Linked DNA regions of Styela clava. The protein of the gene in region 4 binds, or shares a complex with, the protein of the main gene of each other region. Links are inferred from orthologs where the notes say so. Each region holds a gene or a part of one and is shown on either strand. Other genes may lie near its edges.

Region 1 (6,885 bases), on a different chromosome or scaffold from region 4:
CCATTTGTTCGAGTTAGACTATGACACTTTTTATGAGTAGAAAATGTTCGTATTTTGTGATAGGTGTGCCGCAACCAATGACATTTAACAACATGATGCGCAACTCCGGCATTTTTGTCCGAAGATCGTATTCGATAGCACGCTCCAATGCACATACTTGACGAGACGAAAACGAGCGGATGTGTGCTGCTTTCAAGGCGTAGCACAAATGGTGTTCGTGCCTGCTTTGACAGTTGTTGTCGATTTTAATGATATTTTGGAAAATTGAAGGTAAAAAGAAATCGGAAAAAGGTAAGGTAAATACTATTGTTGTATATCACACCCGGACATAGCACTGTTAAGTACATGTGGGAAAGCCAGCTTTTGTCAAATACTACGAAGTTATCAAATCAATACGGTACGTAGTTGCCCATTTGCCGAAATTGCGTATTTACTTACCCTTTATGGTTTCAAATAGTTCATGCACCTCCATTTAGATTTTTCTAATCAGTGTAGAAATATATACTCATTGCTGTAGCATACTATTGCTCATTCACTTTTATTTGCGTATTGAATCAAAGGGTTAACAAGTTCACCTAACATTTTAATCATACCGGTCTATATTGTATAGTATGATCTCTCAAGTATTTGGAGCCACGAATGCTTGTAATTTTCTGACTAAACCCTTTTATTAGTTGATTTATATACCAAATTCAATAAAACATTTTTTACATTAAACATGAGATATTGGATTTATTAGCTTTTCCATTCTAAGTCATATTGACTGCTTTATTTATTCTTAACGAAAATTAATAAATCTCCTCTCTTTCTTCAGATGTGAAAGTTGTGGACAAACCTGTCTAAGCATTGTGAGACTCCTGTAGCACAAGAGGCAATAGCAAAAATAGTAAGTATATCAATCAAAAAATTAAGCCGACATAAAGCAAAACTTTCAACTATTCGTCTAATCTCAATTTCCTATTATTTATTCACAGGACAACTGTAGCAGAAGGGGAGATATCAGAAGTCTGGCGACATATCAGTGACAGTGTGATTCCAAGAAATATAATTAGAATACTCCATAAATGTTTGCAATAGAAGAACAACCTATGAAGGCATGCAAAAGCATTTGACCCTCCGGTAGAGTTGTGTATGGCCCCTACATCCTGCAAGGCTTGAGGAAAATAACTAAAAATTCCAATGCGTAAGATTGCATAAGCGGTCTTCTTTGTGAAAAAGCACAAAACATGCCAGGCATACTTAAAACAGCTTTGAAAAATGAGGATTACGGGTCACTACACCTATGCTATATTTGGTTCATCAATTTTTGGTAGTACTATAGAAAAAATTCAGGAAAGGGTATAATCATGATTCATGATAAAATACTGGTATATATTTTGGACAACTTCAATCTAGACCAAACTCGCGGCCCCAGAGAACTTCCAGTGCGGCCTCGAAAGCTTAACAATAATTGTAAAAGTATTTTGGAAGTTTTTTTTATCTAAATGTAACAGCTTTTTCAAACTTTTTTAAGTGAAATTGAATATTCACACAGAAAACAATTTACTAAAAGTAGTTTTAAAAAATTAATTTTTTTTGTTCACATTTTGACCCATTTAAGAATACACATCAAGCTAGCAAAATAATACTTGAATAAAACACTTGAGTTATTAAATTGAACGCAAAGTACATGAAGAAGGTGGCATTTTCGAAGAAAATGGGAGTTGCAATATTTCTGCATTTCACAAAATTCTCTGAAGCACATTGTTTAATTTGTCATATTTCCACCAGTACAATGAAAAACACAATAAGCTCAGCAGTCAATATGGCAAATTCGAAGACCAACTTCGAACAGAAAATTTCCATGTGTTTGTATATTAATATAATTATACAACTTTTTTGTTACTAAATATCAATAATAATTCAAGCAATCCTATGCCATGCAATGTGGCGCGAAATGTCTTGTCGAAAAAATCTGTCATTTGTTTTTTTACTGATCTATACATGAAATGATAAAAGTAACTTTTTTGCATTACTGGAATTAATTAAACATTTGCAAAGATCCAGATTAACCCATGATCATGTGACCTCGTTAGTTAGAGTTGGTACTATAAAATTATTTCATCCTGGCTTTAGTATGCTGGTGACACAAAAAAGATGCCAAACGTCAGGACAAATGTAATTAAAAAACATTGAGTTTATATTGTAGTATTTTTGTTAATTTTAGGTCCATATATTTAGATTAAGTCATTTTTTTAGTGTATGTATTATTCTTTCCTTATCCAAAGCTTGTTCAAAAATGATTTTGATGGTTGTACATAGAATTTTATGATTTTTTGTAATAAATACAGTAACTTGCAATAATAGTGGAATGCAAATATTAACATGAAATTGCATTTGAAATTAAAGAAAATAATAAAACTTAATCCAACTGTTTAGTTGCATCCTAATATATGTCACAAACTAAAACTATCTTGAAAATATCTTTCAAGTATACATTATCAAAAACTGTTTGCGGCACTTTTTACAATTTCCAACATGCAATGCGGCTCTCGAAAACCCATGAGTTTGACACCACTGATCTATTCTAGACAATTCAAGCATTTCTTTGGGAAATATTATAACTTCAAATAAATTGAAAATAATCTTGCCGTATTAAATACGAAATCGTTGCTATCATAAAGATAAACCAATTCAGCCACTGGAAATATATTGGCCTTCACAAAGCAATGGAGGCAAAATTAAGAGTTCATGAGCTATGAACTTTTGTTCTTTTCTTTGTCTTAAACTTTTCATACTCCACAGCCCCTATTAATTTTTTTTTTAATTTCAATTACCATGTGATGGTAATACATATCTTTAACTTGTATTTTCTGTAATGATGTATTATCTCAATGTGTCAAACTTTTAATTAGTGTGCATATTTTGCTTCCAGATGACATAAATGTATTGTCCTGTTTATTACCTCAGCTTGGAGTATTGACAAGAAAAAGGTGCCAGTAAATTCTTTGTTATAATCAGAATTCACAATTAATAGGAATTATAAACAGCCACCAATCAATGAGAATTACATGCGAAATCCCTCACAATAAATTTGTCTAATAATGTCTAATAAATTCACCTACTAAAGCAAGTTCGATAGGTGCAAACTTTGTGTTATGGAATTGTATCACAGCACCGTTGGGAGAAGTAAAAACAGTTTTGCTGTTTTGTATGACACCCTCTTTAAATGAAATTTCAATGTTTACGCGTAAACATTAAAATTACTAACTTTGAACTTTGTCATTATCTGCAAAATGTCCCACACAAATCTTTACTCTATCGCGTTTGTAATCTTCTCTGATAAAAAAAAAAGTCTATGATGTCCAGAATTACTCTTTACAGCTTGTATGTCATTCCAGCTTTCAAAGTGAGCAAAACTTCTTAGATATAGAGATTATTTTCTTTCGTTACAGGCGCAAAAAGGCAGGTACTAAACGTAAAGAGGACGCCGATTAGCAAAAGCAAGCGGAAAACGGTCGCGAAAGGCGACGAGAAATATGTGCATTGGAGCGTATCATGAAATACAATCTTTCGCATGTAGTCTTATGGAGTGACGTCAGAGTTGCCTATCATGTTGTTTAATGTCATTGGCCGCAACTATTTAAATAGCACTGCCCTAGATGCTCTAATATTTCTGCGTCGATATTACATGAGATAAATACGTGATTTTATTGTCATGCAAGTCGTTTGAATTTTTTACTTAATTCCGAAAAATCACGGGATTATACGGCTCAATCCCGGGATATCCCGATACCGTGATTTCAAGAACTGGCTCCGAAATCCCAACCCTAGTGGTGCATAGAGTCTTGTTTAGTGTAACTAAAGTTTAAGTTGTTTGTTGTTGTTAAAATATCTATATTTTATATTACTGAATACCGTACTAAATTCGTAATAAATTTTTGGTAGTGTTTTTTCTAGTTACCCGAAGTTGTCATAACGTCATATGCCATTCTCAATCATTTCGATATATATACACACCACTATCTGAAAGGAGAAGTTACTTCTTTGTTTATTCCCTACGATCGCTTTGTCGAGATTGACCATTTTAGCCTGGGTGTTGTCTTTGGTCAAGATTTGTCTCAGACAGTTTTGGGGCCATAATTTGAAGCCGGAAGAAAATCAGTGAGATATGAACCAATAACATTTGTGGGAAGAGAATTGAGAGCGTGTATGGGTGTAGACTGTGCAGTTGAAAATTTTTGATCAGAACAGAAAAACACGAAGAAAATGATAAAATTATTTTCACTAAAACAGCAAAAGAAAAATGACGAAGCATCGGGGGCTTCATCTGGTAGAAGAAAAGCTTCAGCGGCTCAACTTCGAATTACTAAGGATTTAAATGAACTGCAGTTACCACCTACATGTAGTACTATTTTCCCTGATCCCAATGATTTACTGAATTTCAAGCTTATCATTGCCCCTGATGAGGGGTTTTACAAAAATGGTAAATTCACTTTTACATTTAAAGTTGGGCAAGGTTACCCTCATGATGCCCCAAAAGTAAAATGTGAAACCATGGTTTACCATCCTAACATTGACCTTGAAGGAAATGTTTGTTTGAATATTCTCAGAGAAGATTGGAAACCTGTTCTTACCATTAACTCTGTCATTTATGGGCTTCAATATCTTTTTCTTGAGCCCAACCCTGATGACCCTTTAAACAAAGAAGCAGCGGAGATGCTAACAAAAAACAGACGTGCATTTGAACAGAATGTATACAAATCAATGAGGGGTGGTTACGTTGGGAGCACATATTTTGAGCGATGTTTAAAATGATTTTTTTGCAATGTTGATATGTATTTGATATCATTTTGATGCCTTTATAATGATAGTTTATTTATATAGGCTATTTGGTAAGTTTTACCATTGACACAGAATAAATGGACTAAGGTTGCTTTTGACGACTCGAATAAAATACTGGCTATTTTGTAAGACATCTTTTATTTCACCATACGTTTTATATTTATTTTGCATAATTCTGGTTACTCTAAGTGGGCTTTTGTGTAGAAAATTCAGACAATGTTTTATTATAGAATTGATTGAAATTTTATCTTTCCAATGAAAACAAATTCATATCTACATTTGGTCAACTTTTAAAAATAACTTTCTGTCTATCGAATGACATAATTTCCAACGATTTTCGAAATTCAACTTATCTATATGCTCTGAAATAATCTGTTGAAATTTTTGAAACACCTTATAAATCTATTCTTAACATTTAACATAACACAATGACGAAAAATGCATTTAATTTCTTATTTCATCCATATCATTTAAATATCTATCAATATGCATTGTGGTATTTGATTTACAGTCACAATCTTAAAAATTTAATTTTGTTGCTTGAGCTTTCTAATAATGTTTTGTATGAAAATGCTACCTGTGCAGCTTTATACCATCGGAATTTTAATCCAGAATTTAAGATGTGATTAATACTGATTGAAAATATACTAAAATTTAACCAATGAGTAACTGTTAAGTTGTCCTCAAACATATCTAATTTTTCAAATCAATTTTAATATGGTGATTTTTTTTTGTTCATTAAAATTTGTGAAGATGATTGGTTGATAAAAAATAACCCAACAACTGTATCACTGATATTAGTATGTCTATATCTGAAACACATTTCTATTTTGATTATTTCAAAAAATTCATTCATGTGGCAAAAACATGCTATAAAGCCAGTTTTTCGATCAAAATATCCTACACAGATATTAAAATCAAAATATTTTGACAAGGGATTTGTTATCCTTTATAGCAATATTAAAATAATGTTCTTTAAAAATTCCTCTTTTCAATATGATGAGACAAGTGTCCAAAATATTGGTATTGGCCATGGTTTTATTTTCTGTTATTTATGTTAAGACGCATAATCAGAATCAGTATGATTGTTTTGAACCATGCTAGAATACTTCCCAAGTTCATTATTTTTGGTCAGTCAATGATTTTGTTCAAAATCATTTTAATCTTTGATAAATATCTTATCTGCTGCTGATAATCATTGCAGATGAGGGTCCATGTTTTTGTCACTGATAAATATTTGAGGTTGAAAAATGTAGCAGGTGTCTAACTTTGTGCTATGTGCTCAAATGTGGTTATGTAGGCTACCTCAAAGCTGATGAGCAGAATATTCCCTAACTTAATAAAATAATAAAACTCTGGCATTTTTGTGTTGTATTGACTATCTGCTTTTTTAATGAGGTGAAATACCTGTTTGTGACAAAATTACATTCTTATATGGAAGCGTGATATAATAGCATAGGAACCTTTCCCCCATTACGCAATAAATTCCAATTGCTTCTCAAAATTTTGTTTATATTCTGATGAATTGCTCTCTATACCACACCTATGAGCATATTATATGTGACTGCATGTCTCTTTGTATTTTATTTCAATTCACATTGCTTATTGAAAATAAATAAAATACTAGACCAATCCAATCAAGAACAAAATGGAAAATACTTCAAGAGAGCTTTTTTTTGGATAAAGCCGGAGAAAAGTAAAGCACTAATTTGTTACGACTGTATTCTTTTTAATATCAATTTTGCAAAATTACTAATCACTTTTTTTGCCCAATCTGATCGAAACATTTAGCTTATATCAAGCTACAGTTTTAAGCCATCGTTTTAAGTTTTGTCTTATGTTTCTATAATCAATTCATGATTTTTAGGAATACGGTAGTTCAAAATAGTTTTACATTAAAATTATCATTTTGGGCATTTGGCAGCTTGTATTCGAATAAGCTTTAATAGAATCTGAAATTAAACAAACTCATAATTTAGTTAGTCATAATTTTTCTGCACCATAAAGTTCTATCAAATCAAAGAGAGACTATATACATTATGCAATATTTCAAAATATTTT
Region 2 (6,816 bases), on a different chromosome or scaffold from region 4:
TTGACACAGTACGTACAAATGCAATGCCAAACATGCAATCGTTGTACAAGTCAGAACATGCTGCAATTTTATCGTCAGCACAAGACATGGAATTACCCCCGACTGATTATACATTCGAGATCAGGATTGAAAAGGACGTTAAAAATATGTACTCAGCGCTGCAACGGCATATTTCAACTTACAAAAACGAGCACCATGGCCCAACTTTAATTGCATTTCAGTCTCAACTTTCTGTTACTAAAATATCGAGTCTTATACCAGCTGTGAGAGAATTTCCAATAATTCCATTGCATAATAAAGACCCCGAGAATTTATATGCAGTTTTGGAATGGCAACGTGTTGGAGCACGGAGATTGGTTCAACAATTTTTAAACCTGTGTCCTCTATTGGACCAGTTACTAAAATATAGCCGATATTTTTGCGTTCCCGTCGGTAATCTGCCACTGGACCCAAGCCTGTTTGTAGCGGATTTAACTTTCGCAAGATATTTACTGAAGCATAACCATGTCCTGTGGTGTTCTGCGACAGAAAAACCAGATCTAGGAGGAAAGGAAGCGTTCGACAACAAGTTAGGATCGGATAATTCGAATAGTACAGTTGAGGTGAACACCAGTGGAGCGTATCCCAGCGTTTGTATCGAATTAGAAATCTCGTCTTTAGCTGTGAACACGATTATCCAATCACATCGCGTTAATGATGTCGACGGGGGCGTGAGTGCAGGCGTGAGTTTCGACGTAATTCAACAATCATCGCTTGAAGATATGATAAGTGGACAGAATTCTGCGTTGAATTCGCTTGCTAGTGATGACGATACTGTTTTGTGTTCAACTACATTCAGGATCTTGAAGTCAATGGTACAAGGTTGGCTTCGGGACGTGTCTGTACATCGAAACGAGCTGGCTGATTTCCAACTTGTGCATTTCTATCGATGGTTGGGTTGTCGTTCTTCTCTACTTTTCGACCGTGCGTTGCATAAAACTCTACAAAACATGATGCGTAAAGTTTTTTTGCAGTTGATCTCTGAGTTTAAGCGATTGGGATCTAAAATCGTGTACGCAGATTTTAGCCGAGTCATTGTTTGCACAAAGAAACGCTCTGTCACAGATGCAGTGGCGTATATCAGCTACATAGCGTCGTCTATCACATCTAAAGATTTATACCATTCCATAGATCTTTCTATCGTGCAAGCTTGGGAGTACTTACTATGGCTTGACCACACTAATTTTGCCGGGGTTAAAGGTCAAATGGAAGAAAACGAGGACAAAATGGACGATAGTTCGATCAGCGTTAGCAGTAAAAAAGATAATTCTCAATCAACGGAGCCGCAGAATAAATCTATCCGCTTCGACGAAAGTTTGATAAATGAAAGTGGGGAAGAAAATCCAACACAAGGTGGCGATGTTGTTGAAATGAATTTTAGTCTCGTAAAATATCTCCCTCATGCTGCCGCAATTCAGACTAGCTTTGAAATGATTATTGGGGGGTACATTTCAATGATCCATAGAGAAACAAAACGTGAAAGAACAAAATACCTCCCTGGACAGACTCCTGTAGTTCGAAGGGGGGACACGCAGTCGCAAGAAGAAAAAGGGGGGAAATCAAAAATCATTCCAAGCGACCCTTCCATTACGGAACATATTGTGACATTCTCACAGGAGTTAATAACAGGAGAACTAACTCAACAAATTCTGAGTATCGTCCAAAAAATGGCGAAAAAATTAGGCTCGGACCCAGTGAGTGGAAGCAAAATGTTCCCTATTTTACCTGGGTCTCATCTTTCTCTCACAAATCCGACGTTGGAATTCGTGAAATCGGCGTGCAAAGTTTTGTCGCTCGATTCTCACGTAACGACGCAAGTTCAACATCTGAAACGGAATTTATTAAAACTTATCGGAGTCGGAGAATTTTCGTCGTCTGCAGAATGGAACGATCCATGTGCTTCGTTTGTTTTGGGTGAAGTCGTTTGTGTTACGTGCAACCACTGTCGTGATTTAGATTTATGTCGTGAATACCAGACACTAGATGGCCAGGAAAAAATTGTGTGGATGTGCGAGTCTTGCGGAACAGCGTACGATATTTCATGGATCGAAAATCGACTTATTGAAAGTTTACAAAGCCAAGCAGCAAGTCATGTTTTGCAGGATCTATCGTGCAAAAAATGCAACGGAATTAAACAAGGAAATTTATCGAGATATTGCGAATGTGCCGGAGATTTTGAAGTAACGATACCGGTGTCAAAGTTCACAAATACAATCAAAATATTTCAGAATATTGCTGAGCACGCAGGAATGCCTTTATTACTAGAAACTGTAAAATGGTTTTCTGAGTACATGTGAACATTAAGTGACAAGTACATGCTAAGGGCGCGGGTTTCTAACTTTTTTTCAACTCTTCATTCCTCCTCAACTAGGCACACTAACTCTTCTTTTGGCATTGGAGGGATTCCTCTCTAGTTGGAAAATGTGCTAAGGAGTGTATAATAGGTCTGGGAATCTTTTTGTTATTATTCATGTGTAATGTTAATTATACTACGCTCTTGATATTAACATCGTTTAATACGTCAGTTTTGCGTGAGTAAAAAGGTTTGCTTCAATGCAGCCTGTGAAGAGGTTGGCTATTATTTGCGGAATTGTGTAGTTGACTATTATGGCCACCACTCTCTATTGTAACTTTAATATGACACAAACACTGCCTTTTTTATGTAATAATACTGCCATTTTGCTAAAATTTTTGTGTTTTTTCTGGGATAGCTCACATAGTCTATCGCTCTAGTTACGTAGCAAACTGGAATTTCGGTGCTTGTCCGACTTTATAAATACATTAAAAATTTGAAGGCAGCAAATTGTCTGTGCAATGGCTTAGTTATTGAGGAGTCAAGATAAAAATGTCAAATACATAACACTGGTTATTTTCATTTGCTTTTCACTGGATTTGCATGTATTACTATGAATAGGCTAGGCGGCTATCACTCTTTAACTTTGATATGACTGAAACACTGCCCTTTTTTAATTTTATTTTTTGAAACATGATTTGAATAGAGATTTTGACCACCAGTGGGAGCAAGACTGAGCCCTTTATTATTCTTGTGTTGAATATTTGAATTACAGTTCATATTGTTCCTGTATTTTGGCTTTTTACATTTTCACTGACGCTGAAAATTTTTGTTATTTTCACAAAGATTGTGGCAATTAGTTAGTATGAAAAATGACAATTATCTAAACCAGTGGTTCTCTAATTGTATTCCCTTGTGGCCTATTTTCAGCGTAAAAAAATACTTCAAACTTCTAAAACCTTTGGGAAAAGAAGCATCACAAATTACCTTAATCTTGTAACACCTTTAAGAAAAATTTCTAGTATAATAAGAATGTCTTTTTATTAATATTAACAACACAGTGAAAGTTCCCATAACCAAACTAATACTTATGTCTATTCATCAGCTTGTCAAGCTGAACTCCCAAACCTTGGTTGACCTCAAGTGTAAATCACCTCTGTTTTTTCAATTTGTAACTCACTGGAGGTCCACAGGCCCATTTCAAAAATTCCCGTGACCACACGTTAAGAAAGTTTGCTCTAAGTTTCCAAATTAAACTATTTGAAATCATTTATAAAATGACAATATTTTTACACCAATTTACTTTATAGGGTGTTCATGAAGTCCTAAAATGTTTTAAAATTGAAAAAAAAAATTGATCCATACCATATATTGTCCATGAAGTCCCTTTACAATTTCTATTTTATTATGAAGTCAGTTCTCAATACATCTTAACCAGGTTTGTTGTTTTTTAATCAGTAATTGTTCAAGTACATTTACTTCATTTAATACATCTGTGAGGGTCAAAACAATATATGGTATCGATAAATTCCCTTGCAATTCGAATTTTTTAAAGACTTCATGGACACCCTATATATTCCATATTCGTTATTATAATTCCTTGAATCATACTTGTGCTGAATGTTCTGTATTTTTCATAAATTATGACCATATTGTTCCTTTTCACAGATTTAATAACAGGTAATCTATATTTGCTACTGAAAACGGGATTCATATGGAAATAACAAACTGGATAGTTCGGTTTTAAATTGAGAAACACTGGACAATCGTGGATTTTATATTTTCGTTCAGTTTTCTGTGGATATCATAAAAATTAGATTTTATTGTCTGTACCAAGACTGGTGTAAAAACATCAAACTGAAAGATAATAATTTGGTAAAACGAAGAGGTTTGCCTATGCGAGTCCTATTTTTCGCTGAAACATTTGAAGAGTCCTTTAGAAAAATCTTGGACTTTTACAATTAGTTTAGCTTGTTTGAGAGAACTCGGAAATTTTGGTTTTATAAAACAAGAGGCACCGTTTTTGTGAATCGTTTTCTGACTGGAATTTTTGGATCTGTATTTGGAGAACCGGAATAAGAAAAAGGTGTTGAATTTATAATTGGACATTTATATTATTGTGGATCTACCTAACTGGATTACCTGAAGAAGCGACTCTTTCATACATAATGCTAACACTGTCAAAGAAAATAAAAGAGTCTGGAAAAGGAGACGCCAAGAAGAAAGAATCCTCCCCGAAGCCACAGCATGGCCGAGTTTCAATCCGCGATCGATTACTGATCGGGGAGGTTCAAGAATTAGAAAAAAATATCACTTCAGCGACATGTAAAGTGACTTTTCCAGAAGCGGACTGTTTGCATAAATTTTATGTTGAAATTTCCCCAGATGAAGGAATGTGGGAGCACGGGACATATGAATTCAAAGTTGAAGTGCCCGAAAATTATAACATAGCGCCACCGAATGTAAAATGTATGACAAGAATTTGGCATCCTAATATTACCGAGAACGGGGACGTATGTTTAAGTCTATTAAGGGACCATTCGTTGGATGGGACTGGTTGGGTACCGACGCGCACCCTAAAGGAGGTAATATGGGGACTTTGCTCCCTATTTACGGACTTATGTGACTTTGATGACCCATTGAATGTTGACGCAGCAGACCATTACCATAGAGATAAAAAAGGCTTTACTAGAAAAGTTCAGTATTATATACAAAGATATGCGTACCACGAGAAATAGACATACCGTATATTCTAGTGTATAAGATGTTCTCGCATGTAAGCCCGGCGTCTTAAAAATGGCCTTATAACGGTGAATTTATACAAATTTACGTATTAGTCGACCTTACGAATCGTAACCCACCGTATGCTAGGGATGTCAAATTTAATATTTGAATATTGCTACCTTCAAATATCGTTTTTGTTTTAATGAAAATATCCAGGCTTATGCTCATACAAGCCATACTCTGGCTTATATGCGAAGATATGCGGTACCCAACTAATTTAGGTTTTGTGTAATTTGCAATTTACTGGGTCATAATTAGGACTGGGCATTTTCGAATACCTTGTGATTTCAGAATCGAATCGAATAATTTATTTCGAATCGAATCTAGAATACTTGAAAATATAAAATTGTAAGCGACTTTATTATAGTAATTGGTCCTCTCAACAAATGAATTAATGAAGACATAGAATAAATCACCCAGATAGATTACTGAGCGTTCACACAGAATAACAAACACGTTTTATCAATAACTCACTACAGAAAATAGTCATATGTTAGAATTTCGTTGAAAAAATATGACTTCAATGAAAAAAAATTGGGGAATTCACCTCGACCATTAGCGGAAAGATAAAAACAAGATGGCGGCGGTTCGAAATTTAGCTCTGAACCGATTCGAATAATTTACTATTCGATTCGAATATTCAATTCGAAATGCCCAGCCCTAGTCATAATACACCACTATAGTTCTACATAACACTAGTTCCCAACCTTTTATGGCTTGTGGCCCCCTTCCGGAGACTTTTAGCATTCATGGCCCCCTTTATCATTCCAGTGGTATTTATAGTGCTAATTTGATTGGTAGATTCCAAATTTTGTTTGAGCTTTACCAGTCCGTCACCTAAAAAGGGTTGCCAACCACTGATCTAGTCCATCTGTATAATTGACATATCCACTTGCTATATTCTTAATGGAGTTAAAATCCAAAACATATCATTTAATTACTGTTGCCTTATGGTTAGTTTGCTCTCTTTATGGTAATTTCTAAGATATCATACAGAATATTTTTTGTCAGATAACGCTCTTTACTACGTGTTCAGGGCCTTGCTCAGAGCGAGCATATGGAACCCTACTAAAGTACTGTTACTTTCAATTTTTTTGTTGCATTATCATAATTTATAAAATATCAGTTCTGAATTATTCTTTGCTAGATTTTATAACTGATCCTGTTTTTCTCTTAAATTCTAGATTTGTTTTTAGCTTTAGTTTTTAAAAATAATTCAACCAAGCATGTCCGAGACAGAACCACGAAAGGCAGTGGAGCATGAAGAAAAGGTGGAGCCAGAGGCTCAAGAGGTAGAAACAGAACCCAAGGCAGAGCTTACACAAAAAGTTGACCAATCAGAAACAGAGCAGAGCGTCGCAGATGAATCGACAATTGTGGATTCTTCAATAAATGCGGAAAAATCAGACGCAATTGTGGGCGATGATGAACAAAGTGACAGTGATTCTGATGAGTCCCTTCCTCCCGGGCTTTTAGAGCGGCCTGTTGAAATTCTAGAGGCAAAAAGAGAGCGAAAGAAAATTAAACGTTTCACGTACGATGACGAGGCAACTAGTCCCGCTGTTGACAAGAAAAAGAATGTTGAAATACCGAAAGGCAGTGGGATCCGCATCGGTAATCACCCTCGTGTGGAATATCAACTACAACGTAACTCTGCAGAGGATTTAAAAATTATTCACAAATTTTTTTATAACGTACAA
Region 3 (7,825 bases), on a different chromosome or scaffold from region 4:
GTTAGAGTTCCGGTATTCGCAGCCGTTTTTCTCTCTCTTGTTAGGCAGATGGGGAGGGCATAATGCGTCATTTACAAACCTATTATCAACTTATCTAAGATGGCCAATGTACATATTAACCGTAAATAAGGAATAGAATTGTGTCGAGACCGATGGACGCCAACACACCTGGTTTCAACTTCTTCGGGTGAAATGAGTGAAGAATGTAAGAGATCAACTTATAAAACATGGTCTATTTGTAAATGTCGTGATAATTAATGTCGCGCTTATCAAACAGCAAGAGACGGAAGAGAAATTGCGTAATGAACCAACGCAACTTAGTCCTTTCGGCATCGGTAAAGCGATTGAGACGGCAGAGAAACAACATTACGACGGGATTTCCCGTGTTTATTCTGCGCGAAATCCATTTTCTATTACAAAATCTTGATGTTCTGTTACCGGTTTTATCGTTATATATCTGTCCGGACTTGGCATTGCTCAATATGTTTTTCACAATGCCTCGCAAATCGCAATATGTCGGCCAAATATGATTACCTGTCTTTACCAAATGCGGCAACTTATTTTGATTTATCGTCGACCTGAATACCACCGGCACTCGACCAAACTTGTGTCAATCTTGGCAAATAGGATTGTCGACTTGAGTTAGAAAAATAAATTAATATTTTCATGAGTGCAAAATAAATGTCACAAAATGCATTGTTTTGCGATATAACTTTGTATTTTCGGAGAAGGCATGTCATATAAGTACGGTATTTTAAATAATGCGCAAATAATTAATATTTGATCTAAATTTATCGTAAATAATGTTATAACATTTAGGCCGCGAAATGATTTAATGTAAAATGAAGCATGGAATTCGGAATATCGTCAATAAGTCGGCATCAATAATTATTATAAAATGCTAACTAAGTAGTAAAGTCGGATATTGTAAAAAACGGTGAAATAACAAGTCTTCGTCGCGAGGCAAGCGAAAGTATAATCAAACGAGAGAATACGCTTGTAGTTGATTAATAAATTAGCAACCCGGAATTTTTATTCAATACGAAAGTCGTATTAATACGTCAATACGATTTTAAAAAAGTGAACTATCGTTTCTTAAACATATTACCAGTGTTGGTAATGATAAAATTGATCGCATAAAATTTGGTGATAAAGTTGATAAAGGAAAATCAAAGCTAATACAAAAGATAAAAATCAGAATAAAATTATTTTGAATTCACTCCTTGATATTTGTCTTTAACATCTGTCTCCGGCGTGTGGTACTGCCGGGAATATGAAAACCAAACTTCGATGTCCCATTCGGAATAGAAGTGGATTAAATTGGTTGGTATGCTAGGTTTAAATGTGTGAAAAAAATATCGCAATTACGGGGTCATTACGTAATCGATTTGGCCGTAATTACGGAATTGATTTTTGTCAATTACGTGCAAGCCTATTTCACACATTTCGGTAAGTTTGCACGCAGGCTCAGGCGTTTGGCGTGCCCCAGTCACTAATTGCACACCCCATTCCTCATGAAAAAGGCCATGAAACCCAGACTGACAATAGTTGTCGATTTGAAAAAAAATTAAAAGATAGTTTTTGGTTTTGTTGCATTTAAACATTAAGGAACCAACTAAATTCGAGTCTCATGTAGTTTCGTACCTAACATACTTCCAGTGGGCGTAGCATGACAATTTTTTCACATATCAATCCTAACCCCCACCTGACTACACCATCCAAAAATTACGTCATTACGACGTCACAGTGACGTAATAGAGCCCTTCAAACTACACGAACTGCCATCCAAGACGCGCAAACGAGCACCCGAAATCGAACAGTTATTTCTCTCGTTTTCTCGTCGCATCGATTTCAATAGTAGAGAGATCGATAACGTCAGTCAGTTCCTTATCGTCGGCGCCAATGCCATTTCGGTCGATCGTGCGTATATTTGGCAAGCTCTATAACGTGATTGTGATGTCGTAGTGTTTTAATTTTTGGATGGCGTAGTCAGATGGGGGTTAGGATTGACATATCAAAAAATTGTTATGCTACGCCCACTAGAAGTACGTTAGGTACGAAACTACACGAGACATCTAAATTCTACAACACTGTAAAATGGGTCTTACTACTTACTGAATACGGTACAGCGCGAAACACCGCAAAGAGCGCAAAACAGCGCGAAACAGCGCAAAAGCGCGCGAAACAGCGCAAAAGCGCGCGAAACAGCGCAAAATAGCACGAAACAGCGCAAAAGAGAGGAAAACAGCGCGAAACAGAAGGAAACCAGCGCAAAACAGAGGGAAACAGCGCAAAACAGGAGACGCAGTCATTACCACCTTCTGCCACGAAAGAACCACGGCGCCTCTCGCCATGGTTTTATGGCGCTATTTCCGGCATATTTACAAGGTTATGTACCGGATTATAGGTCATCATGCGAAATTTTATCTACTTTTTTGGTGCTCCACAAGTATGTGCAGCAATATGTCGCACAGCCTGAATATATACGTTGGTTTGTGTTTTTAATTTGCTGCCGTGGTACTCCAACTCAAAACAAGGTGCCCCGAACTCATTGCAAAATTTTTTTCTGCTTCACACTGTTTCCCTCTGTTTTGCGCTCTTTCGCGCTGTTTCCACACTGTTTTGCGCTGTTTCCCTCTGTTTTGCGCTGTTTTGCGCTCTTTGTGGTGTTTCGCGCTGTATTCAGTACCAGTAGTAAGACCGCTGTAAAATTCCGTAAATTCGTAATTTAAGTTCAAGGTTGAATAGTCAAACCTGGTAAAACCATGTTTTTCAGTATTTCAGTTCCAGTGGCTGTAACATTGATGAGGCAGACCTTAGCGTTTTCTAATGATCTCTGACCATGGTCACCCCACAATCGTAACTGACGATCATACTTCTGCTGCTTATCCATCGCTAGTGCATTTGGATCCAGACTTCAGAAAACCAGTTCGAATATTTTTACACACAACATGCATCTGTAAACAAGATGACAACATATGGGGAATTCCCTTGTATAAAGTTCAAAGGTTATAAATAGATAGATACCGGTAGTTTATTTTTAAAACTTCACAATCTGACAATACAAACAATTCAAAAACTATAATACGTACGATATGTTCCCGTTTAATATATGTTGAGTCAGCTGAACTATACAACTAATAATTACTTCGTAGTTACTACGGTATTGATGTTTCCCCGATTTTCCTGTTAACTTCCGTAACAATTTCCAATCCAACTAGACTAGAATTAGCTACCAGAACCTATAAGAGGCACGTCGTTGATTGTTTCAATGAAGAAAAAATGATGATTTTAGACATGTGAACAAGTTTGTAAGCGCCAACTCTCCAAAGCACTATCATAATAACGATAAGGATCCAAGTTGTGTTCTCTCATATGTACATGTTCATGTTCATATGTACTATATAGCTTTGGAAATATGGTATTTTAAATTTTTCACCCATTCATAATAACTGCCTCATTCTCACTATTTGATTTTTGTCGAACATAAAGTAAAATTAAATTTGAGGAAATTATAATTAGGCTTACGCCCTTCTTAATTTTTCACTTCTTTTCGCATTTTATTTACTATTAAAAAAAGTATAACCTGCATAATCATGCGATGTTCTTTTTTCTTGTAATTTTCAATCTTTGATTGATACCACCCTATTTGCAAATTAAAACAGCATTTCAGCGGATCATAATATGATGCAATATCATGCAAATCTCAGTGTATGCTATCAGATTTATAAAATGGATAGGAATTCACAATCTTATATATGGATTCTTCATATGTCTTTGTGAAAATTATTGAAGATACTATTATATATAGTCTGAAGTAATAATTATATGTACTATATAGCTTGGGAAGTATGGTATTTTTAATTTTTCACCTATTCATAGAAATTGCCTCATTCTCACGATTTGATTCGTGTCCAACATAAAGTATAAATAATTGTAATTAGCCCGACGCCCTTCTTATTCTTTCTCGCATTTTCAATTACTATTAAAAACATAATCTGCGTAAGCATGTGATGTTCTTGTTCCTTGTAATTTTTATTCCTATTCCAATACTTTCGGGGAATTGATTTCTGGGGCCTCTCAACCGGGCTTAAAACTCAAAAATTTATATTTCTTCTATTGTAATTATAATGCCTGCTTTAGAGTGTCCTGTCTTGGTAGAATCTTACCTTAGGGGTCGGTCGACCTTGTTGACCTTGGAAGTCTTGCCCGTCCCCTTCCGTATACATTTTTATGCTTATTGTTATTTGCTCATGCTTATTGTATTATGTACTTGTATCGGAAATAAATCATTATCTATCTATCTCTAAGTCTCCCCAAGTATCTCTCTCTCCTTCTCTAAGTCTCTCTCTCTCCCCAAGTTTGGGTGGTAACTGACTTTGACGACCGCCAAAGGTCGTATCGTTGCTTCCCAGTCATATACCGAAAACATCTGTTTATTTGAATAAACTCTCTCTCTCTCTCTCTAGTCTAGAATACTGTATGTTACAAATCAACTCCTAGGCATAGGAGACAGATACGTATACATATATTGTATACGCTGCGTAAAATATTCAAGCTTCAACTATCCACCCAGTTTTCTGCTGAAGTGCTCATTCTGCTGCCTGTGTATGTCAATGGCAAAAATACTGATTATCTGGGTACAACCGTAAATATATACTACTACCGTAGTAGTATATATTTACGGTACAACATCTCCGAAAAAAGTTACGTCATCCTTTACTTTTTGCTGATTGGCCATTGTTACAGAAAAAATAAACAAGAAAATCGATGCTCGGGGAAACATACATATTAAATATTTCTCTCTCCCTAGCCAAATATTCAATTTGGGCATACAGGCATAGCGCATAGCGGGATTGCTGCATTTTGTTTAAGTTGTTGTAGCAGTACGGTGTTGGTATTCAGGTGTTAGTACCGGTATTTATTGACGGTTCAGGTACGAAACGACTGCAATACGGCAGTCGCAATTTCAGTGACGCCAGCCCACTTTCAGACTTTTGATGTAGGCTAGCTGCCTGTACATTTGATTGTCTGATTGTGGGGATTGGTTTTGTTATTGAAGAATATGTTATGTTATTACTGTGTTAGTCCCTCACCTAAATTCCAGAATTCATTACGTTTTTTTTTCTAAATCAAACTCCATAAATATATGGATGGTTAACCCTCCGTCTCCCATGTAGAATTGCTGAATTGTGGGGTTCAAGTTATCCTAATATAGGTAACTTTATGCCATTTTGTTTACCAACCTTTCTTTTGGGTAAAACATGATGAATGAAGAGCTTGCCAATGATTTCGACATTATTGTTGTTGGGACAGGTGAGTACAAGAAATTTAATGAAAATACACATTGAGATCTATCAGTCGTCAACGTTAGATGTGATTTGCATGAAGTTTTCAATTGACTCCCGATGTCGGGATGTTGAAACAGTTTAGATTTTCAAAACCACAACGTTTCATTCTCAATTCTCCCTGGTCAACAAAATATTTTTATCGTAGTGCAGTAGTGCTTCTAAATAAAATATTCACTTATTCTGTATTCAATTAGGACAAGGTCAAATCCTTTCTGCATTTCTGCCACACACTTTTAGGCTAGTATCGTCCAATGCAATGCAAATGGTCTTCAGCATTGTTAACATTGCAATCTTGTCTATACAGCTATATATACCTTTGCAGGACGAGTAGGCAGACACACACTTTAGTGTCATTGGGCCTTATTCCAACGAAGTTGCCTATAACTCCAAACGAATGCCATACACCAATTCATTTATATGTCCCCTTTTTGCTTTATATTATAATTTTTGGTAAGGTAAACCATAATCCCGTTATCATATATATAGGCGTATATATTGCCTATATATAGTTTGGAAGTGCAACTAACTGCGTGTTATAACAGATGAATTAATATCAAGTTTGTCTTATACTGAAATCCTTCAAAATATTCTATTTAACTTGAGAACGTTTCTCCAGTTTGTGATACCATTACTGCTTTAACATGACTGCATGATGAGTTGATCAACTGGAATGTAAATAGTTCAGCAACATTAAGTTCCTTTGTTGTATGTACAATTTTACTTTTTATCCCTCAATTATGTTAAGCAAGTTTTGCCAGCCCTATTACAGTAATATTGTTATCTGAATCGCCATTGCAGAAGGTTCAATTGTTCTTATCGGCCATCACGACATGGTAAATTTACGCTTTTATTACCTCAGGTCTTTCAGAATCGATATTATCAGGAGCACTGTCGCGTATTGGGAAGAAAGTTCTTCATCTGGATCAAAATAAATACTATGGAAGTAATTGGTCTTCATTTAATCTACGAGCATTTGAAGCTTGGATTGAAGAAAGAGATGGTGAGTATAATTTACTATTTGAAAGATAGCAAACTACTTTGTGTGATGAAATGGATGAGGCTGATATAAATTTTGTTCCACATTTAATTAAGTCTCATCCGGTCATCCGGTCGAAACTTGTAAAATATTGTGCATGTAAAATAGAAACTCTTTTTCAACTTTATCTTGTTATCAAACAGATGATGCCAGAGTCTCAGTGAATGAGATTTCACAGGAAATAAACAATGAAACTGAAGAATTAGTAATTGTAGGAAATATTCGTAAAACCACTCAACAAGGAGTAGTGAAATGTTATCTACCGTAAGTTTATTCACCATAAGTTAGTCACCATTTACTCATCATGCCATCATTTATTCTTGTTATCAAGCATCTTCAAGTCAATTTTCATTCATTTCCTGCTAGACAACTGAGTGAGAGTTGAAGGTTTTGATGTGACTCTATAAATGATCATAAAATCGATGATCCATGAATGCAAAATCATGATAATGATGGGATAGTCATTGAAGACATGGGAATATACTTTGAAACTGGGTATTTACTAATAGGGGTCATAAAATAGATGACACAAAATATTGGCTTAATAATATGCTTGGAGTGTTTTCTTCGATCAGTATCAGTTAAAACTGGAGCTCGACCGATATATCGGGCCGATATTGCGTGTTTGCCGATATATCATATCGGCCGTATACCGCCGATATATATCGGTCATACTCGGCAAGCGCCGGGCTGCGTGCTGCAACAGCTCTCGCCCCTGCGTATATTTCTCTCGCTTTCATTTTGCGTTATAAGGGTGTCTCTCCTAATTCCCGGTGTCTTATGATTAGCCATTTCATGCATGGTCATAACTGAAAAGTTATATCTGGAGTAACAATGACATTTTATAAAGTGACATTTTTGAGAGAGTACACAATGAGAAAAAGGCAAATTTAGTAACAGCATTAAACGGTGGTTCTATAATAGAATCGATTGGAAGCTGGTGAGTTAGTAATCATAGAAACATGAAACAGGTAGCTCAAAGCAATAATGTCAGTTCGGAATTTGTGACCTCCCAAAATTCCAATTTTGAATTTATGGGGTAACAGTTTTGTCTATATTGATGGTTGTTTATCATTTTGCTGAAAATTACAAAATAAAAACTTAATCCATTATTATTGACTAAATAAGGTATTGAGAGTCTCTGGAAACAAAGTTATTAAAAATTTCACATGTAACTGCACATATGCTATCACAATATCGAAGGATCATTATCACGATTCACTTTAAAATATATCAATTTATATTTTTTCAATACCCCTAACATATGTCCATACTATAGACTCACAAGGTGCATTATAAAAGCGTGGCTCAAAATATGATTAATATTAATATCGGCATTGCGATATCGGTTATCGGCCATTTGGCCGATATATCGGTATTAGCGTCAAAAAGTGATATCGGTCGAGCTCTAGTTAAAACTCGTTAAAAACTGTTATTA
Region 4 (6,831 bases):
CTTTTTTGGGGAATGGTGTAAATTAAATCGGTGAAAAATTCCAAAATAAAAACTAGAAAACATCCTAAAAATTGGAAAACCCTGTATTTTTTCGATCAGAATTGATATCTAAACTTTAAAATCCGCTAAGCATGTTTTAAAAATTCCTTAACTAAATTTGTTTGCATATTTTTTTCGCAATGTATGACAACCTGACATTTCAGGTTGTCCAGCCGGGCACGTTGACGTGTTGTTCGTGATAGATGGATCAAGGAGTGTAGAGGAAGCCAATTTTCAAATCGTAATTGCCTGGGTGAAGAATGTCACAAAAAAACTCGATTTAGAAAGCGGTCATACCAGTGTTGGCGTTGTTCAGTATTCTTCCTACAACCCGGGGTTTGTAATTTGTAATCAGCGAAACTATATATATGTATATACTAAATAACCATTAATAAAAAATTTGACAAAAAATGAAAAGTAATCGATAAATAACAACAGTTGTTTTCTGATTAAACTTGAACGTTTGTTATTCATACCATATAAATTAAAATAGTATTATTTTGCGCTGTTTCAGACAACCAATAAACGATCAAACATACATAAAGACGGAAATCGAAATAGGACAGGAAACTAATCAGACTTCCTTCGAGGTATGATTCAATTTTAACTGATTCAGTTTCAGAGAAATTTTCTACTAAAATATAAATTTATTAAGAAAATTTGATCAGATAAATTGCGTTGAAAGAAAATAACATATGTTTACGATAGGTACCACATCTGCAGATCACAAAATTGATAATATTTTCAATGTACTGTTTCAGGCAGCAGTTGGCAATATTTCATATTACCAATTTACAACACCTACAGGTTATGCATTGAGAAAAGTGATGTTTGATTTCAATGGAACCAAAAATTACGGCAGTCATAACAATAAACAAGTAATGATTCTACTCACTGATGGAAAGTAAGATATATTAAACACAAGATAAAATATTTACATATTACATTAATCAAAATCAAATTGCTACAAACATTTGGAACACCTCCTTTGACACGCCTCCTTTCCTATGTTGATTTTTTCGATTTCCGTTCCCCAGAAATTACTCGCAAGTTAGCCTACAATAAATGTCCCACGCGCCACAGTATAGAAACTTGTATTTAGTATAAAATTACAATTATCTTCATATTTTACCCCACCTTCAAATGGAAACTTCAACATAAATCTCGCTTTTCAGAGCTAATGCGGCAGATCAAGAATTTATTCCAGAAGCCGCCGCTGCGCTGCGTGATATGGGAGTGATAATTTTTAGTGTGGGGGTTGGAGATGCGCAACCAACCGAATTGCAGGTAAAAATAAAGTATATAATTATTGTTTTTATGATAATCAGTTTTCTATAGCACATATTTATTTGTGATATGAACACTTGTAAACAACGTAAAACTTATTTCTACTAATTTTATTTTAATTTAATAAAGCACCGAGATAGCATGTCGGCGGTGTTGTCCATTGTGCTGAGTCATTCCTGCGTGGGTTTGCAAGCTTGAATCCCATGCAGGGCAAATTGTGTGCAAGAGGATTGCTGGACTCCTCGCCGCCGGTTACGTAACCGCTGGTCGGTTACGGGTTTCTCCGCCATCAAGTCTATGCATTTGAAAACAACAACAAACTGGTAACCGAACCGTGGCCGTGGTTCGCCATATGATGAAGCTCTTATCGGATTGCCTCACCTCACCGGGATGAATATGTAAATCCTTTCCCTTCCTATCCAATATAAACAAATATTTCAGATCATTGCCAACGGGGCTGAAGGCAACAACGAAAGAGTAGAACTGCTGACTAACTTTGAAGATTTGGATAGTATTGTAGATGAGTTGGGAACAGAAATAAGAGCGGTCAATCCCGAAGGTAACGTGATACAAAAACATGATATGATTTTTCTTATCATATATCGTCAATACTTTTTATACAATACTTTATATATATATTAGTTAAACATCAAATGGGATTTGTCAAAATCCAAATATTTCCGTAGCGCACTCCCCGCTGTAATTGGAGCATGGTAAACCGTAGTAGTATATATTTACGGGTAAACTATGCGGTGGAAAAATTTAGCTCATGTGACCCAGAATGGCATCAGCACTACTAATACTACACTCACCTACCTATTCATGTGGTGGTCACGAGAGGGATATTGAGCTGATCATAATTCCAAGACTTGCGAAATGAGACCATATTAGTTTATTTTTACGTTAGGTGGAGCTGCGGATTTGTACAATCAGACCGGTTTTTCAATCGCTTATAGCAAGAAAAATGGGGTGAGTTACTTGACCTATAACGAACCCATGACAGAGTGGCTAAGAATGAAAACAAACAAGTTGAAATAAATTATTACAACAAATTTAAACTATAAATTGTTTGAAAACTTCCATTTTCATTGGCGTAATTCGTTTTGTAGTTTTGAGGGAATCAGTTTGAGCGGTTTTTTGTTTCGTATACTCATTGGTTTTCTGTATAAATGTAACTTAGATTGTGTCTAGATTCTAATTAAACTAATAAAATGAACCGTGCTGCCCATATGTTCATAAAATCAAATTACAATCGTGCCATCGGTCCACACTTTTTGAAAATAAAAACTGTATAAATAAACTCACATTTCAGGATTTCATGCTTGTTTTTATGTTTGTGTGAGTGTGAAATGGTGTGACTGGTGTGTGTACGAATTCTTTCATCGGCTATCGAAATGAAGACGCATCCGATTTTTCGGCGGATTCTGAAGGCTGATCGGTATCATTGCATATTAAGCGTCGTTATCCTTTCTCTCTGAAAGTAGGAATTCGGACAGGACATTTCACAAAATATTATTTATGAAAATAAAAACGTGGCGACTGTAACCAAAATTTTACTTCGATTTTGTCATCAATCGATCTTAATGCATATATTCGCCTGAAAAATATCCCCTTCAATACAAAGTTTGTTTTGAACTCGTTGCGGAGTTAAAAAATATCTGCCGTATAGGGTATAATGAATCGCGGATGGAATAGATCAGTTGGCTGTTTGGCAAAGATGCAGTCTCGCAGAGACTTTTTGGCATTCAACATTCATGTTTTATGTGAGTATTTTATTAATTAACTAATATCTGGTACCGGTACCAGTGTAAGTAATTATGAGCAAGGTAGCCAAGCCACTTTTATTCAGATGCCCTTTTCTTCTCTCAATACAATTACCGATGAAACAGCCGCTAGGTGCTGAGGCGGAGTCGAAATCGTACCCAGGTTGGCTAAGCTTCTTCGTTAGTCGGTTGCTGTATTGAGCTCATCTTTTGTGATGATATCTCGATCATTTATTAATCAGATCAGATTCGGAAATATTCGATTCGAAAATAAAATATTCGAAACTTACATCCCTAGACTCATGGCTAATCTACTCCCTGACTCCTGTACTTCCAAGTACAGAAGTGCTCAAAAAGCTTAGCGCTGTTCTGAATATTACTAATGACAAAATTTCAAAAAAGTTTTGATACTTCGCTTGTTTTGAATTGTACTTGAAATTTCCTCAGGATGAATATGTAAATCATATCCTAGCAATTCTTAATGCTATTTTACTTTTTCGTCCGACTAGAGATGAGTGTTGCAAGTGAAAAAAGCTTATTTTCAACCAGCATTGTTCCTAGTGCAGTAGTGTATATACCTACCGTCTACCGATATGTACTTTTCATCAGTTTGTAATTATTTTAAAAGCAACTCACACTGTTCTGTGTGATGTGAATTGACGTTTTTCTGTGTAAATCTGACTGATAAAGAATATAGCCCTTACGTTGTTGTAACAATCAGGTTATTACAGAATTAATTTATTCACATACTGTTTTTTAAGAAACTCAAATCTAAAAAATAGCCCGGATATTTTTTAACAAGTTTTGTGGAAAAGTTGTCACAAGATGTCAGAACCTATGGAGCAGTCGGACGAATATGACTCAAATATATCAGATTATCCATCAAGATGGCTTCATTTACGTAAAGTTTTAGAACGTGGTGGGCCATTCTGTCATCCTGATTTTGATCCTTGTCCAGACACTTTGAATTTTATGAAAGCAAATTGCAAAATTTTGGTTATTGGTGCTGGAGGTCTTGGATGTGAACTTCTCAAGGATCTTGCATACAGTGGATTTTTGAATATTGAAGTTATTGATATGGATACGATTGATGTTTCAAACTTAAACAGACAGTTCCTTTTCAGAGAAAAAGATGTTGGGAAACCCAAAGCTAATGTAGCTGCTGAATTTATTAATAAACGCATTCCAGGTTGTGTAGTAGTTCCTCATTACTGTAGAATAGAAGATTTTGATGCTGATTTTTATCGGATGTTTCATATTGTAGTCTGTGGTTTGGACTCCATTGTAGCAAGAAGGTTAGACTCTCTTAATTTATTATTAGGACACTTTGGCTAATTTTGCAAGCGAATAAGTAGTTAGTTGAATTTGTATTAAAAAATCATCAACTCAAATGCGTCGGTATTGTACTGATTTACTACTGTAGTATAATAAATATACAGGGTGGGTGTAAAAAATAGTAACATTTCTTTGTCCCACTCTGTATATTGTGAAACACATGCTAGGGAATATATTGTAACAGTTTGTGTAATTGATTTTCAGTTTTGATTTGAAGCCTTATTACAAAATGTAACTTAGATAACAGTACAAGCACAGGTGCGTTTGGAGTTTATATATTTTGCAGCAAAGAAACTTTGGTTTGAATTATTGCTTTGTGAGTTGTTCAATAATGTTAATCTGATTTTTCACAGATGGATTAATGGAATGTTTCTGAGTCTACTTGAATTTAATGATCAAGGAGAGCTAGATCAAACAACTATGGTTCCAATTGTAGATGGAGGAACAGAAGGTTTCAAGGGCAATGTAAGGGTTATACTTCCCGGGATGACTCCATGCATCGAATGCACTCTGGACTTATACCCTCCTCAAGTAAGACCATTATATTTGGATATAAATTTTATGTATTTTCTCTTGGCAACAGTGTGTCAATGCTCTATTTTTTTAGTTTTGTGTAGTTGTATGAGACAGAACTTGAATATGTGTCTGAAACCCAATTGAAAAACCTGATTAAATTGTGATATTTTGTCAATTTGGGGTAAATTTCTATTTCAAATAAAACTTAGAAGCAGCAGCAGAATTTATTCATTCATCCGGAATTATTTTATTGTGAATATTAGAATACCTTTTCTCTGATTAAACTGAATTATAATTTAATTCCAGAATATAATTCAAACAGAAAATCACAAAAATGTTGACTTTTTCCATAATTATAATTTATATACCTTTACATATAAAGTTGTACGAGTAATTTGAATCATTTTATGAAAACTTGAAACGAATGTCTTCGTTACTTGGTCGCACTAAATCCATAAGTATGCTTTAATAATAGAATCCTAGACATATTCCTATGTATGATGGGTTTACTTGGTGTATATTTATTTTAAGGTGAATTTCCCAATGTGCACTATTGCTCATACTCCGCGGCTTCCTGAGCATTGTATAGAGTATGTTAAAATCTTGTTATGGCCACAAGAAAAACCATTTGGACTCGATGTTCAAATTGATGGTGATGATCCAGTCCATATCAAATGGATTTTCAACAAAGCAGTTGAAAGGGGAAAAGATTACGGAATCGAGGGAGTAACATACAGATTAACTCAAGGTGTAATAAAGCGTATTATTCCGGCTGTGGCGTCCACTAATGCAGTGATTGCAGCAGCATGCACTTTAGAAGTTTTGAAGCTTGCGTCAAGTTGCTGCATGCCATTAAATAACTATATGATCTTTAATGACGCCGAGGGAATATACACATATGCATACGAAGCTGAGAAAAAAGAGGATTGTATAGTGTGCAGCCTACGGCCACAGAAGCTAAAGTTTCGAAAATCTGACAAGCTGCAAGATGTTCTTGACTATTTGAAGGTGTGTTTTTTGTTTAAGTTGATAAGATACTTAGTAACTCTATCAATAAGATGGCTATTCATAGCAATTTAGAATGGATTAAAAGGTTAGTTCAGATCAATGTTTTTGTCTTGGTGTGAAGTAAACTTCCCAAATACAGTGCTTGTCACTTTGACATTAAATAGATCTTCCGTCAATAAAAAACATTCCGAGAACTTCCTAATTGCTTGCTATACTGATTTACAGGAGAATTCTGCTTTACAAATGAGAGCTCCCGGTCTCACTACAAGTGTTGGTGGAAAGAATAAAACTCTTTATATGAGTACGGTCAAATCTATCGAAGTTGCCACAAAACCAAACTTACAGAAGACATTGGATGAACTCGACATTCAAAATGGACAAGAAATTGTAGTTGCAGATGCAACTTCACCGAACCCATTAATTTTTAAAATGCAGTATGACGAAAAATGAACCTATCTAGTATAATTATAGGTCTATTATTAGATTTTGATTGGTTTATAAAGTTCCTTTTAATTTGCTGAACTGAGTTTGCTTTCCTGCTGCTAGTCGAAGCTGTGATTGAAAACTTTGCACTGTCGATTTTGTTGTGAATTAGAAACGATGATGTGAAACCGGTATTTTACATATCTCATATCTCTCGCATTCTCATTTTTCTTCCATCTGCAATCTCTGAATAAATTATGTAGTCTTAATGAAGATAATTGTGAGGAGTATAGTTTTTCTTCTACATGCAATATGGTCCAACTTCGCTTCACTGGATGCAATAAACAGCTTTATTTATTTACTGGGTCTGATTTCGCTTGACTGAATTTAAAAATGCAATGAACATCTTGATTTATTTTCTGGAGTCGCTCCACAACATTTTCACTATCAGTTCTGGCCA

What was found.
Region 1: the proteins of NEDD8-activating enzyme E1 catalytic subunit-like (region 4) and NEDD8-conjugating enzyme Ubc12-like are in contact, whole or in part, in a crystal structure (PDB 2NVU), measured with the Homo sapiens proteins. The link is inferred for Styela clava from reciprocal best matches to the Homo sapiens genes UBA3 and UBE2M. Residues at the interface, in NP_003959.3 of Homo sapiens: His53, Pro54, Asp55, Glu61, Ser62, Phe65, Cys70, Gln149, Asn152, Asp153, Thr154, Arg157, Gln158, Phe159, His160, Ile170, Arg173, Trp174, Ser181, Leu182, Leu183, Asn184, Pro192, Ile195, Val196, Pro197, Leu214, Met217, Arg254, Met255; in NP_003960.1 of Homo sapiens: Lys3, Leu4, Phe5, Ser6, Leu7, Lys8, Gln9, Gln10, Lys11, Lys12, Glu15, Lys21, Gly22, Ser23, Ser24, Lys25, Lys26, Ala27, Gln31, Leu32, Gln35, Lys36, Ile38, Asn39, Glu40, Phe51, Ser52, Asp53, Pro54, Asp55.
Region 2: the proteins of NEDD8-activating enzyme E1 catalytic subunit-like (region 4) and NEDD8-conjugating enzyme UBE2F-like are in contact, whole or in part, in a crystal structure (PDB 3FN1), measured with the Homo sapiens proteins. The link is inferred for Styela clava from reciprocal best matches to the Homo sapiens genes UBA3 and UBE2F. Residues at the interface, in NP_003959.3 of Homo sapiens: Ala401, Thr403, Thr405, Leu406, Glu407, Gly408, Asn410, Arg411, Thr412, Ser417, Val418, Thr419, Ser420, Ile421, Arg424, Thr425, Gln442, Glu443, Ala445, Ala447, Asp448, Val449, Thr451, Pro452, Gln453, Thr454, Leu456; in NP_001265234.1 of Homo sapiens: Thr27, Arg28, Arg29, Val30, Asp34, Lys35, Val38, Lys39, Val41, Ala42, Glu45, Val54, His55, Phe56, Pro57, Asp58, Pro59, Asn60, Leu62.
Region 3: the proteins of NEDD8-activating enzyme E1 catalytic subunit-like (region 4) and NEDD8-activating enzyme E1 regulatory subunit-like are in contact, whole or in part, in a crystal structure (PDB 3DBR), measured with the Homo sapiens proteins. The link is inferred for Styela clava from reciprocal best matches to the Homo sapiens genes UBA3 and NAE1. Residues at the interface, in NP_003959.3 of Homo sapiens: Trp34, Glu35, Gly36, Arg37, Trp38, Asn39, His40, Lys43, Phe44, Glu46, Arg47, Ser48, Gly49, Pro50, Phe51, Thr52, Phe56, Glu83, Lys86, Asn87, Leu90, Ser91, Val106, Ser107, Leu109, Asn110, Arg111, Phe113, Leu114, Arg116; in NP_003896.1 of Homo sapiens: Glu10, Gln11, Lys12, Tyr13, Asp14, Arg15, Gln16, Leu17, Arg18, Leu19, Trp20, Asp22, Glu44, Lys47, Asn48, Leu51, Pro52, Gly67, Glu68, Ala70, Gly71, Asn72, Asn73, Phe74, Phe75, Gln77, Arg78, Ile81, Phe92, Glu95.

Annotation. Positions count from the first base shown.
Region 1 is NC_135261.1:7,731,812-7,738,696, reverse strand, and holds NEDD8-conjugating enzyme Ubc12-like, read left to right. Parts: upstream 1-3,883; 5' UTR 3,884-4,248; coding exon 4,249-4,797; 3' UTR 4,798-6,369; downstream 6,370-6,885. Other genes in the region: fanconi-associated nuclease 1-like, read left to right, coding at 6,370-6,520.
Region 2 is NC_135254.1:1,510,833-1,517,648, forward strand, and holds NEDD8-conjugating enzyme UBE2F-like, read left to right. Parts: upstream 1-4,018; 5' UTR 4,019-4,500; coding exon 4,501-5,070; 3' UTR 5,071-6,301; downstream 6,302-6,816. Other genes in the region: DNA polymerase epsilon catalytic subunit A-like, read left to right, coding at 1-2,336; uncharacterized protein LOC120343828, read left to right, coding at 6,343-6,816. UniProt on the Homo sapiens protein: Accepts the ubiquitin-like protein NEDD8 from the UBA3-NAE1 E1 complex and catalyzes its covalent attachment to other proteins. Together with the E3 ubiquitin ligase RNF7/RBX2, specifically neddylates cullin-5 (CUL5).
Region 3 is NC_135263.1:19,899,070-19,906,894, reverse strand, and holds the start of NEDD8-activating enzyme E1 regulatory subunit-like, read right to left. Parts: upstream 3,011-7,825; 5' UTR 2,894-3,010; coding exon 2,755-2,893; intron 1-2,754. Other genes in the region: rab proteins geranylgeranyltransferase component A 2-like, read left to right, coding at 5,265-5,316, 6,211-6,351, 6,531-6,651. UniProt on the Homo sapiens protein: Regulatory subunit of the dimeric UBA3-NAE1 E1 enzyme. E1 activates NEDD8 by first adenylating its C-terminal glycine residue with ATP, thereafter linking this residue to the side chain of the catalytic cysteine, yielding a NEDD8-UBA3 thioester and free AMP.
Region 4 is NC_135257.1:11,905,311-11,912,141, forward strand, and holds NEDD8-activating enzyme E1 catalytic subunit-like, read left to right. Parts: upstream 1-3,821; 5' UTR 3,822-3,914; coding exon 3,915-4,384; intron 4,385-4,777; coding exon 4,778-4,955; intron 4,956-5,471; coding exon 5,472-5,948; intron 5,949-6,173; coding exon 6,174-6,398; 3' UTR 6,399-6,461; downstream 6,462-6,831. Other genes in the region: integrin alpha-D-like, read left to right, coding at 204-375, 554-629, 801-943, 1,215-1,326, 1,768-1,885, 2,234-2,364. UniProt on the Homo sapiens protein: Catalytic subunit of the dimeric UBA3-NAE1 E1 enzyme. E1 activates NEDD8 by first adenylating its C-terminal glycine residue with ATP, thereafter linking this residue to the side chain of the catalytic cysteine, yielding a NEDD8-UBA3 thioester and free AMP.